Linked DNA regions of Drosophila melanogaster. The gene in region 1 interacts genetically with each later gene. Each region holds a gene or a part of one and is shown on either strand. Other genes may lie near its edges.

Region 1 (4,569 bases):
TGAGCAATAATAAAAATAATAATATTAATAATAATAATAACGAGGGGACAGCGCTTCCTGGAAGGTGGAAAAACCGAAGGGACATTTTCGTTGGCTGGGAAAACGAGAACAATAAGGTTATCCAAGCTGGACCTGTTGATTGCCTGCCTTCATTTCGCCAAATGTGCTCCACTTCTACTTCACTTTTCCTAGTGGAAATAATTTCCAGCGTGGGCGTGTAAGAAAATGCTCGACTGGGATGCTAATAGATGCGATTAAACGCCCACACTGTCAGATATTATTGACTAGAAGATGAGGATGAAGTTAAGGGCAGGGGCACAGCTAAATGGCAGATACGGCACAGTGGGCTAATACTGCCCATGAATACTGTTAGAATAAATGTATTCGGGAAAAAAGAAAATCTCTAAATGTTAATGTGTAAGGCAAAGTTGTGAATACTTTCTATTATTCAAAATATTATAATGTGAGAAATTAATCAATTGCTTTATATTAATCATACGCAGTGTGGTCATAAATATTTACTAAATTGAAAAGTTAAAACAATTACACTATAAACCCTATTTATTATATTATATACACTATATTACACGATTTGAAATAGTTAATAGCTGATAGGTACCCAAAGCTTTTGTACACATTTGAAGACTGATTTGAACCACTGTGCAGAAGGAAGCCAGAAGCTACTAGCATTTTCCACTCGAGAAGAGTCTCGGGAGAATGGATACAGGATGCTGGTGCCTTGCCCTTTTCCCGAAACGTCTGCCACGTGTGTGGGATGTCCTGCGGCTGGAGGCTCCTGTTGCTCTTTGGCCAACCCACCGCCCGCCAATCGATGGCAGACCAAAGGTTGCCGGTCACATTCGGATAAATATATGAATGGAATGGAAAGCGAAAAACTGAATTGAGCTTATCAATGAAAAAAGCTCCCGTTGATGTGTCCGCTCAACTAGAAGTTCATTCATAAATTTTCCTGATTTTCCGCTAAGCGAATAGAGCAGCTGAACCCAAAGAAGCTCGCCCTGTTATCCGGTTGAACTTTGATATTTCGGTATTCACAGGAGAAGGTCCTGCCTTCCGTTTCTCTGCCCCTTTGTGGGGGAGTCGCTTCAAATGTCAGCTGCTCCTGACTCCATTTAAACCGCATTATTTGGCCGGAAGCTTTGGCTGGATTCGTTACACCTGCGTGTTTAATTAGCCAGGCAATTTCAACTTGTTGCAGAAAATTTGCGGCTACCAATTGCCGGTTGACCTTATACATATGAGCAGCATTCCCCGCGCTGTGCCCCTCGCACATTCGCACACGGAACACGTGTACGTGACTTTTAACCTTTTCATGTGGCAGCGCTAATTGATTTGTTTTACGCACGTGTCGCTCTGCAGGAGTGCAAATACATATGTATCGCGTGGGCTACGCATACTAACGTCCTTCATATTTTAGGCCATAACCAGCAATTCGTCATTCAGTCAAATAGCTTGTGTTTGAGCCAAAAAGAAGTTGTTGCAAGGCTGTTCTTTGAGTTTTCCATTAAAAAAGATAAACAAGAGGCCAACAAAAGTATACTTAAAACAACCAATATGTTGTAAAAGTTTCATAAATCATTATATTAAGCCTTATCTTTGTATATTTTTATTAGTTTTAATTTTAGTTATTATTTCCATTCATATTGAATGGAGGTAAACCACGAAATTCAATTGACTTCTCGAACATTCGACGGCTTCATAAAAAAACCAGGTTTCTTTCGAAATGCAAATGGAGTCTATCTGCAAATGGTATTTGGCAAAAACAGCTCCTAAATATTAAGGAATGTGTAAATAATTTTATGCAAAATGATCTCATTCGATTCGGTTTGTACAGAAATTTCGAAGATGTGTAATCTTTTCCATCTCATTCATCATTAAAAATGTAAGGTTTTTCAATGAGACTACAAATATTGAATGAATTTTTATATTTAATAATTAAATAGAAAACAAATCTGGTTTAGCTAATGGCTAAAAACCTTTATGGTTTTGTGAAATAGGAATTTATGAAAATCACAAAATATTTTATGTTAATTACCTTTATTGAATTATTTTAAGAAATCATCCAATAAAATAATTTGGATTTACGAATATATGTTTTCGGGCAATATTCGTACAATTTATTAATAAATTAAAACTAATGTAACATGACCGTAATAAATTCGGCCCCGCTTCAATTTTCCCCATCATATATATGTAATAAAGCCTTATATTTGGCTTTCGCCCCAATTAAAGGCCATTAGAGGCCATAACCAAACCGACAATCACCCCTTTCCCGCTGTAACCATTAATATACTTGTTCAGATGTCGATGGTGGATGGCTGGGCAATATAGGCAGGGTCTACTACTACTACTACTTACCAGCTATAAAAAGGCAATCAGATGTCGTCGATTCGGAGGCAAGTCGGCGACAACAGAGCACGCAAGCGCCCAGAAAGCTGGTCTGGCTAGGGCATCAAGATTTGGGCGCGTAAATAGGCAGGATCGTTGGGATTTTCATCTGTAGTCCAACAGTCGCGCGGATTGCGGATCGCGCGACTGCGTTTGTAATTAATTACGAGGCGGGCCAAAAAGGCGAACGCACGCGCGACTCACTATAAACCGCAACCGCGATTGCAACTGCAACAACTACTGCCAACTGCGACTCTGAAACTTCAGATGGCCAAGCATAAGATAAGATGCGCAGCTGTATAGAACGTGGCCAAGTCAAAGGAAGCGACGTAGCTACTGCGATTACGCGAAAGATATCCACCGGCTGTAATCGCGATCTCGTTGGCTAGCGAAGAGTTGGCAACTAGTTCCCGGCTTCTTCGGTGCAGATTATGCAATTTTGATTTGAAACACGCAATTTGATGGGCTAGTCGAGATATTGGGCTACGGGCTATCTTTCGGCTTAATTCGCTTAACGATCTCATGCACAGGGCGCGTAAATCGGGGCTATAAGATCCCCTGCTCTTTTTTTTATTCTCGAATTTATTGTGCTCAACTTATTAGACGATAATTTCCTTCCGGTTGCGATGCGTTTTTTTTTTGCGATTCAATCCGTCGTCCGACTGTCGGCGGTATTAAAAAATACGGTTTGCTTCGCTTTGCAGCGCTGCCTTGACTGTTTTGCCTCGGTTTCACTGTATCTGTACCTGTACGTGGCTTTGTATCTGTATCCGTTTGCGATGGCAGTGTGTGAGTGTGTGGCAGTCGTGGGCTGATCATCGCCTTACTTAGAGATCTGTCGCCCAGTTGAGATGCCTCGTCTGAGTGTTGTTGTTGTTGTTCTTGCTGCCGTGTGTGGGCACAACTGTACATGCGGACGGGCTAAGCTAGCCGTCCTCGTCGCACTCATGACCGGGGGATTGCCGGTGGGGCAACGAACAACGAACAACAAACAACAAACACCACAAACCACACACACAACCCCCGCAACGCCTCAAAGTGCTTTTCTCTCTCGCTGAGCTTCTATCGCCTAGCATAAGGCTGTAACACCTTTGGATTACTCTTAAGCCGTTTTCCTACACTGAAAAGAAGTGTGAGTGTCAAAAATGTCCTGCGTGCCTTCATCTTAGTTAAACTAAATAATTGGTATTTCTAAATCCTCTTCAGCTGTTAGTAAACCAATATATGTAATATTTTCATTGACATTAGAAGAAGTGTTTTGTAAATAGGAATTATTTATTTATCAATAATCTTCATTTAAGTCATCTTAAATTGTTTTCAGTGCACCGGAACGTGCCAAGTTCTACGAGTGGTTGTGTGGGCTTTCCTCGGTCTAAAAGCCCACACATTTAGCCAACACTCTTGATCGCAACCCTCTTAGTAGAATCAAAACCCCCTCCACGTGTGCAAAACCCTTTCATAGGGATACTTGTAGAATCTGCGTCATTCAATGCACTTGTGCAAACAGACATACATATGTACATACATATTTTAGCCAGGATTTTTACGGATGCAGTAAACTTTAAGGGTTTTCCTGGAATCGAAATCCAAATTCGTCTATCAATCCTGAAAGCTTTTGCTGGAAAGCTAGTCAGCTAAAAATAACACCAACGAAAGCTAATTGGCTGAAAAAAGCTTGGGCCCCCTTAGAAAAAAGCTTTAGAGGCAACAGCACCCACAGAAACGCACACCCACACACAAAAAAAACGCCAAACACACATACACACACACACACATGTGTATATACAAAGGGGTCACGTGGGTGGTTTCATTGATAAATTCATACTTTTACCTCTCGCTCTTTCAGCTGACTGCAAATTGAATTGCAAAATACTGCAGCTGTGCTCGCAGAAAGAGACAGAGCGATAGAAAGGGTGCAGGTGGAGAAAGGAAGCGGAAAGAGATGGAGCTACTGGAAGAGAAAGAGACAAGGACAGAGCCCCTCTGTGCACTGCTCCACTTTAAATAATGTGGGTGTGGATCAAGCCCGGCATTAGATTGTGAATGAAAACTCGAAAAGAGACAGCGAAACGCGGCTAGAAAGAGACGGAGAGCCGAGTTAAAAACGCCCACCAAGCTCACCTTACACAGACACACACACACACACACTCGCACTTTGGC
Region 2 (3,301 bases), on another chromosome or scaffold:
TCTGAACAATTGCCGACCGTTGTTTTTTCGCTTGTTTCGGCTGCATTGCGGGAATAACTCAAAATTAGTTCATTCATCGATCGATCGATCGATCTCTCCGGAATTGTGAATTCTCAGGATCTTATTACCTTGACCGGTTCATATGCAAAAATGCAGCAGGTAAATATTTTGCCTTTTTCACCCTACTCAATCCAACTTTATTTATGCAAATCGGCGTTTTCGATCAAAAGTGTTTACAAAATGTTATTGTAATTTATCTTCATTGGCTAGTGATCTGTAAATACTTAACGGTTACAGTTTCGAATACTTTTTTCGGGCTTACCCCGAATAAAGCGTATACTAGGATCGTTTAAAGGAATGTACCAGGTAAAAGGAAGCGTGTCCTGTGGTATACAGGACAGGATCAAGTTTGTATCAAAACATTGCTACGCCCATATTCATAAAGCATTTGTTCATTAAAACTTTTCTGAATTTTACTCCTTTTGTACATAAATTTGTTTCACTTTAATTACCGTTTAATTTTGTTTACAATAAAAACTCATTTAAAATTTTATATATATCAGTTTAATGTCCTCAATGTATGCTATAAAAAAAAACTTAAATATAAATTGTCTTCCATTAGAAACTATCCTTAGAAACTATATAAAACCTTAAATACTAATTTATAAGGCAAAAAGGTAGTTCTAGGGAATATAAATACTTTGTGGCTGAGGTAATACTTGTTGGCCAATCAATGGTTTGATGTGTGTTATGGTTGGGTGCGACTAGCAATAGCTGAAGATTTGATCTGTTTTTTTACAGGTCGTCCTGCCAGAGTGATATATAGTCGAGGATGTCCTCATCTTCAGTACCAGAACTGCAGGAATTGTTACGGTAGTCTTCAAAACTGGCTTCCAACTTGGTATGAAAATTGTTAGGAGGTGTTGCTCCCGGAATCGTCGATGTTGCTGGCTTGCAATAAGAGCTAATGCTGTTGCAGGAACTTGTGCTGCCAGTTGGAGATTGCAACTGCAACTCTTGGTGCCAGGCGTATAAGTGTTGATGCTGTTGCTGCTGCTGAAAGTGCAAATGTTGCTGCTGCAAATGCAACTGTTTCTGTTTCTGCTGGTCGTTTTCATGAAGAACTTTCTGCAAGCGCCGTATGTACTCTACTGCCATTTTCAGTGTGCTAACTTTGCTCAGTTTTTTATTGGCGCCGGGACCAATTCCCCGGCGACCATTGCTTAAATCGGCTATTACGGCCGCAGGGATATGTTGTCGTAGTTGGCTGAAGCCATTGTTGACCTGCTTTACGCGGTTGCGTTCCCGGGCATTTCTCCGGATAACAGAGGGTCCATTAAAGGCCGAAGATGACTCCTCGTCGTCGTTGAAAACAGAGTGATTTTCGCTGCCCAAAGCCATTTTAAGAGATAGTATAACGTTATTGTGTGACGATGCTCCTTGCTTCAGCGCTGGCTCTGTTCTGATGCCCTTCCCCGTTCCGTTCAGGCTATTTATAGGTATCAGGGCCTAGGGATCCCACCTGCGTGACTACCTACCTGCCCCTGGAAAAGGTGCAACAGCATCATCACTGAAGGATCGTCTCTTGAGATGAGTGTTTTCTCTGATTTTAATAGAGAGGTAGTAATATTATCTCTCGTTCTCTCTGTAAAACGCAGCTGTTGGTGACCTGAGTGTTCCCGTTGTCGAGTGGGAAGAGTTTCTGAGTGTTTTTGCTCATTTTCAGCTGCCTGTCGTCCCCAAACGAAAACCTGGCCCTGTCGCGTGCCGGCTGCCAACCGGTTTAAAAAGGCAACAAGGTCCAGACATCAGAGCCAAGTAAAAACACCTCCGAAGTAAAAAGCTGTATCTCCTATTGAAAGTGGCCATCCAATTTGTATAACTAACAAAATACAACAAAATTAGTGGAATAGACTGTCATTACAATTATAAAAATGGGGACATTTACAATTTATACACTACCAAAAGTGTTTACGAAAAAATAATCTTTAATTAACAAGGCTAGGTATTTTAGACTTTTAAAAAATCTTTAATTTTATGTTAATACATTTAATTTAATTTATTTTATGTACTGATGACCTTCCGATCCCTGGATCATTCGGACATTATCTTAAACACTAGACCATTGTCGCTCGAATCCAAAGTCGTAGGAATTTTCAAGGCCAGCTCATCAACACCTCAGGCGGCGATCCATTCGGTCCTGCAACGAAACCTGATCAGCCGGAGGCACTTTTCTATTAACACTTCTAATGCCCCGGGGCCTTTATGCCCAACGTATCAGTTGTTGTTCCTCTCAGCCGAAAGCATTTTGAAAGCATTTAGGAGGTCCCCATTATTTCTTAAAACCATTGTCAGAATTCTGGTTGCACGCTAGGAAACCGTGCCGAAATAGATTTGTATTGGCACTAACTCACACTGAGCCTCGTTTAACACTTCGTTGCTGTAGCCCCGGGGGATTGCATAGCATTACATGTGAAAAGGACATCACAGGGCATCTAAGCACAGACATACCAGATGTCCAGAGGCTAATAAAATCAAACATATCCGGTCGACCTTGCAAAATCCGTGTTGATGTAATATAAATTTGCCGCGAAGCATTGAGACAAGGTATTCAGTGTCAACCAGGTTTATGAATTTGCAATTTTATTATTATTTTTTGCTTTGAATATCGCTTAGCGCCACAAGTGCTCTTCTTGAGCTTTTCTGCTTGATAACGACTAAATAGTACAATAAATGTTACTAAGACCCTGCGACAGAAAACCGAAAAATCGTGACGGGATAAACTTAAGGGGGGAAGAACTGAGATCTGAATATATGGCGTATCAACCGAATAAAGATGAAGTCGTCATTAATATTGACTCGGTCTGCCGATTACTTGACGTTGTTTCATTTATTCCACACTTCTTAAAGCGGCATGCTTGCGACACAGTAAGGCCTCGATTACAGGACAGCTTCCGTACATTTCAGTACCAATGTTGATCGTACAGGTATTCTAGCCGATAAATGAAAAGTATGTACAAAGTATGTACTCATGTTTATTAGGGTCTTCAAAATTGGGAGCTTAGAACTGTAGAGCCTACGCCTAGGTGCCATTGAATTAAATGTTGCTGCTGAATAAATAAAAAGTCAACTGTCAACTGTTCATGGCCATCAAATTGCCATCCAGAGATTACCGATCTCCGGACGATGAAAGGACGAAAGCCGCCCATGGTTTTGGTTTTGAGTCCCCCAACTTCCCACTCCATATAAATATCTGATTTATGAGAGCAACGCGAATATGTCAACGAAACGATGTCACATC
Region 3 (4,715 bases), on another chromosome or scaffold:
ACCAACTCGATGGGGAAACGAGATGGGGCGGGGGAATGAGGGGGAACAACAACAGAGCAAGACACGCCACGCGGTCGCCAAGGAACTGCAACTGCAACAATGATGAAGACATCAAGCTGTAAAAAGCATCAGCGAAGCAGCGAGAAAACTTGAGGCGGTCCACACAGAAAAACTGAGTTTTCCTCAAAATGTTTACTGCACTTCCATCTTTGAAATATGTTACTAACCCTAAGGATAAACTATCGTAAAGTTCGCAAGTTTAACTAGGAAATCAATTCTGTCTGGAAATCAATTCTTACTTTTGCCATGTAAGCGTTATTATTTGTAAACGGTTGTTTCTTTTTCAGTGTAGCACAGTTTGGAAGTCACTGCGCGAGCAGAGTCAGCAACAACAAAGCGCGTGCGTCAGTAAAATTTTTTCCTTGGCTCTTTTCTTTTTTTCCGCTTTTTGGGCCACCCGCATTCAATGGCCCGATCCCAACCCGAAAAACGATCACTGGCTGCTTCATTTGCATGGGTGGGAATAACAGCAGCAAACTGAAATGCTTTTGGCAACGAAAATGGATATAAGACTGCATGCTGCTCTTTTTAGAGTTCACAACTATATTGGAAATATTACCTTCTGAACTATACCTTCAAGATCAATAAAAAAAAATCTATATAAATAGTAATGAAAATATGTGCGCCCTTCATTTATTGACATTTAATTAGACTAAACGCTTGCTAATCAATCTCATAGTGCAGAGCCAAAAAGCAAATTGTTTCGAAATTATATAGATTACTCATTACGTCACGCATGCTTCTAATCAATCTGCGAAGAATTCCCAACCGAAGTCGCCCCACAACTCGTATCACAGAGCATCTGAGGAGCGTTGACTGGGGCGGTGGGGCATTGGGGCGATGGAGGGGTGGGGCGGCTCCGAAAAGAGCGGCTGGAAGGGGGTGGCCAATGGCAGTCCAGCCAGCAGCATCACGTACGAAATGACTCTCGCGGAGACCTCGGCGCCCACCCATGTTGGAAGGCAACACACAACCACACACACAGATACGAACCCACACCAGCAGAATGCTGGGCAAGTTGTTGCTGGCGTTGTTTATTATTTTTGCTGCGGCTGCCAAAGCTTTCTGCTTTTTGCCTTTTCGGCTGCTTTCGACTGCTGGACGGAACTCCTGCTGCTGCTGCTGCCCAGTTTTTGCCTAGCTGTTTTTGGCGCTCGCCGCAGTTGCAGTTGCAGTTGTTATTGTTCGGTTTGCGGTTTCGGACCAGCCGCGCACAGTAGCGCCAAAGTAATGAAGTTGTCTGTGGATATGTCCGTCTGGAGTTGGATCGGTCGGTTTGGGATCGGCGAAACGAGTACGAAAGTCCTGCTGTGTGTCTACGTCTGCGCAGCGAAAATAGATGTGGATTGATGGCGGTGCACAGAGAATAAATACTAACAAGATTGGTAAAACATCCAATTTGTTGTAGTTTTAGACTGCAGCGAAAGGGTTATTCCGTCTACTTTTACGGCGAATAGTTTCATAAACAAATGTCTATATTTGGAGGTAAATCCTCCACGCTTTTTATGTCCAGAGAACGAAATAGCAAAATTAGCATATAAGCCGATTGGCGTGGATTTCAACTAATCACTGTAATTAATAGGCTGCCTGGCAAGCGAACATCAGACAACTATATTAACCAGGGAATCGAACGAAAGAAAACGAAACGAATGAAATGAAATCGAAACGACCGGCGAAGAAGACATCGGCGACGAAAAAAACGCGAAAAATATTGCGAGAGATATTGGCAATAAAATTTATTGAAATCTGTCCCGGCGACTTAATGGCCGCATTAAACAAAAGCCGCTGCTCTTCGGATTTACAGTCGAACTTCTACATCATGGTTTTTAGTTAAGTGTCTCAATATTCTAATGACAAGAATTGTACAATATAACAATTTCAAATTTTAAAAAGATTGTAAATTTACTTAATACTTCAAATCTTTTGCTTAATTTAAAGTAAAAGGGATTACTAACAAAAGTTTCGAAAGAGCCAGATTTTCCATTTAAACTTATAAAGGATCCTCCGAATACGATTCAAGAATATTATTGAATTCAACACATGGCTATCCTTCACAGTGAAAGTTCACTGTAGTTGGGCACTCACCTTATCTATCTGATCGAGCGCCACTTGGGCGTCCACCCAGCTGGTGCGTATGTAAAGATCCGAGAATAATTTCTCATCGACCACATCGCCGTGTGTGTCCGGAACGCGTGGGAGGCTGTCGCGGTCCATTATGGTTATGTTTATAGCCAGATTCCGGACGGAATCGCGTGGCGGAGATGTGCAGATGGGAGTGTGCTGCGGAATCGGTCTTTCTACAGTGCCTGCCGTTCGTCTGCGTCCTGAGAACTGAGACTTGGGAGACAGTGTGCGGATTGTTCGTGGACTTTCGGTTCGATTAATTGTTATTGGAATCTCGTATTTTGTTTGGCTGCATTTTGCACTGCATTCCGCATTTTTATTTTTAATTATTTTGTATTTTAAATCAAGAGACGCTCTCTCCCGCGCTCTCTCGCTCACTCACTGAGCACGCTGTGTATCTGAGCTCTCGTTGTGTTGTTTTGTTGTGATTGCTGGCTTCGCTTTTGCTGGGTTTTTTCGACGATTAAAACGCGGTTTTCGGGTTTTATCTTGGGCACAATTTCTCAGGGGAATTTGACAGAATTTTCACAGATCTTTTACACATGGAAAAGCGGCAGTCGGACGACTCACGTATTCGGTTTTCTCTCTCGCCTTTCGCTCTTTTACCTTTACTTTACTTTGCACTTGGCGACGCACACACACAAACACTGGCTGGTTGGCTGGCTTTTGTTGTTGCCTGGCATTTAATCCATGAACTTCGCCTCGCATCCGTGAGGTACAATATCTTAGCTTTTCCACGAGTTCTGTGATATCTATCTTGTTAGTATACCACACACAGAGAGTGCCAGTAGTCGGAAATACGAATAACAAGTCGTCGCGCTCCGCACTTACAACCGTTTCGTTCGAGGATCGCACGCAGTCTGAGAGATGTATCTGTATCTCGTGGATGCGGCACGCCAGCCAGGCCAACAACTTCATTAGGCGAGCGCGCGCCGCTGTTTCTCTCTCTCACTCTCTCTTGCCCAGCGGGCGTCTGTGTGCACTGTTTTGCGCCTGTGTGCGTGGGCGACACTCAACACACAACACAGACGCTCTCCCTACTCTCACTCGCTCTCTTGTTTCGTGTGCGGCCATTTTGGTTTGAGAACGCTCTCTGCGAGGGCTGCTTTAACGATAGCTCAACGCACAAAATACCGAGGGGTGATTCAGGAGTTTTTCCGAGAAAATACCAAGTTTGTTATATAAAATTTATGAATGCTTGTTGCAAAATAAAGAATAACTACCAATGTAAATACATATGTTAACAGAAATTAAGAAATAAAATATATATCTATTACTGTTTAAATATCCTTTGTAAATATTTAAGTGATAATAATAATGATAATGTAATTGTTGAGCATACGGACTTAATGCTTGGAACTCATTGTTTACATTTATACTTTTTATAAACAAATAAAATATGTAGCTCTAATATACCCAAATAGCTCCGCCACGAGAGCGCTAATTTCTATTGTTATTCGCATGCCGTAATTTGTTTTTTTTTTGCATGGACCACCCAAAGTGCCTTGGCTGCTGGTTTGTTGTTGCCACTGTAGTTTATTTTCGCTGCAGTGTGGACCACCCAAAAATAAATTTGTTTCTGCCTTCATTAAACTGAAACCGCCAAGCGATGTGGGTGGTCCCCTACCCAAACGTTCAGCTCTGCCGATGTCGGCCTTCAGCGTCGGCAGCGCTGCCCAATGGAGCTTTCGTCTCAGTGTGTGTGTGTGTATTTGTTTGGGGGAAGCGCGTGCGTGGCAGGCTGCGCATGCATGTGTGTGTGTGTAGCCGTGCCGCGAACTGTTGGCAAATTTGTTAGCTTTACATTGCTCGTGTTGTTGGTTTTATGGCTGTTGCTGCTGCCCCATGCGATGATGTCTGTTTTTGCATGTTCCGATGCTAAATTATGAGCGGCAGGATGTTTCTGCTTTTCCCTTTCCATTGTTTTTGCAGCCTCTTTGCCCCATGAATCTCAAATATGCGAGGGGTTATGAGTGTGCGAGGACCACACAAGTAGGTTTGTTTTTGCCGGCAAATTAAAACACAGAACAAATTATATGTTTATTAGACGTAGTCTTTAAATATTTACTCTAAAATCGACTTATAAAAGAATTTTTTTTTTTTATTTAAAAAAAAAAAATAGACTAAACAAGTTTTTTTTTAATTTCTGAATAATAATATACCAATGGAATAAACTCATTTTCATGCGACAACCGCAAACCGATCTTTTTTGTGCACCACGAACTTAAGCCAAATGACATGTTATCTTTAAAACTTCTTTGGATTTATGAATGGAAATGCATTTGCTTCTGGTGTTTCTCCGCATTCCACATTTTCCCTTTCCAATTGAGGCAACAACAACGAAGTAAACAAATAAGAACTCTTCGAAAAAATTGGCGCTCGAATCATCAGCACCATGGAAATTCAAATTGAATGCAACTGCATAGTCATCGTGCTCCCCTCGTGCCCCTTCGCTCCCGCTCTCTCTTTCGGGGAGAAAGAGTGGGAGAGGGAGATGTGAATGTGGACCCACCACCAAGCGAGCTATTACA

Evidence for each region.
Region 2: of sr (region 1) and ac, changing one enhances a phenotype caused by changing the other (phenotypic enhancement), as found in Drosophila melanogaster (one study listed by BioGRID).
Region 3: of sr (region 1) and ptc, changing one suppresses a phenotype caused by changing the other (phenotypic suppression), as found in Drosophila melanogaster (one study listed by BioGRID).

The regions. Positions count from the first base shown.
Region 1 is NT_033777.3:18,089,265-18,093,833, reverse strand, and holds the start of sr (stripe), read right to left. Parts: upstream 3,032-4,569; 5' UTR 2,380-3,031; intron 1-2,379.
Region 2 is NC_004354.4:368,194-371,494, reverse strand, and holds ac (achaete), read right to left. Parts: upstream 1,465-3,301; 5' UTR 1,402-1,464; coding exon 796-1,401; 3' UTR 548-795; downstream 1-547. UniProt on the Drosophila melanogaster protein: AS-C proteins are involved in the determination of the neuronal precursors in the peripheral nervous system and the central nervous system.
Region 3 is NT_033778.4:8,647,981-8,652,695, reverse strand, and holds the start of ptc (patched), read right to left. Parts: upstream 3,048-4,715; 5' UTR 2,275-3,047; coding exon 2,146-2,274; intron 2,000-2,145; exon of another isoform or gene 1,643-1,999; intron 1,446-1,642; exon of another isoform or gene 1,200-1,445; intron 1-1,199. UniProt on the Drosophila melanogaster protein: Segmentation polarity protein. Acts as a receptor for the hedgehog protein (hh). Associates with the smoothened protein (SMO) to transduce the hedgehog signal leading to the activation of wingless, decapentaplegic and patched itself.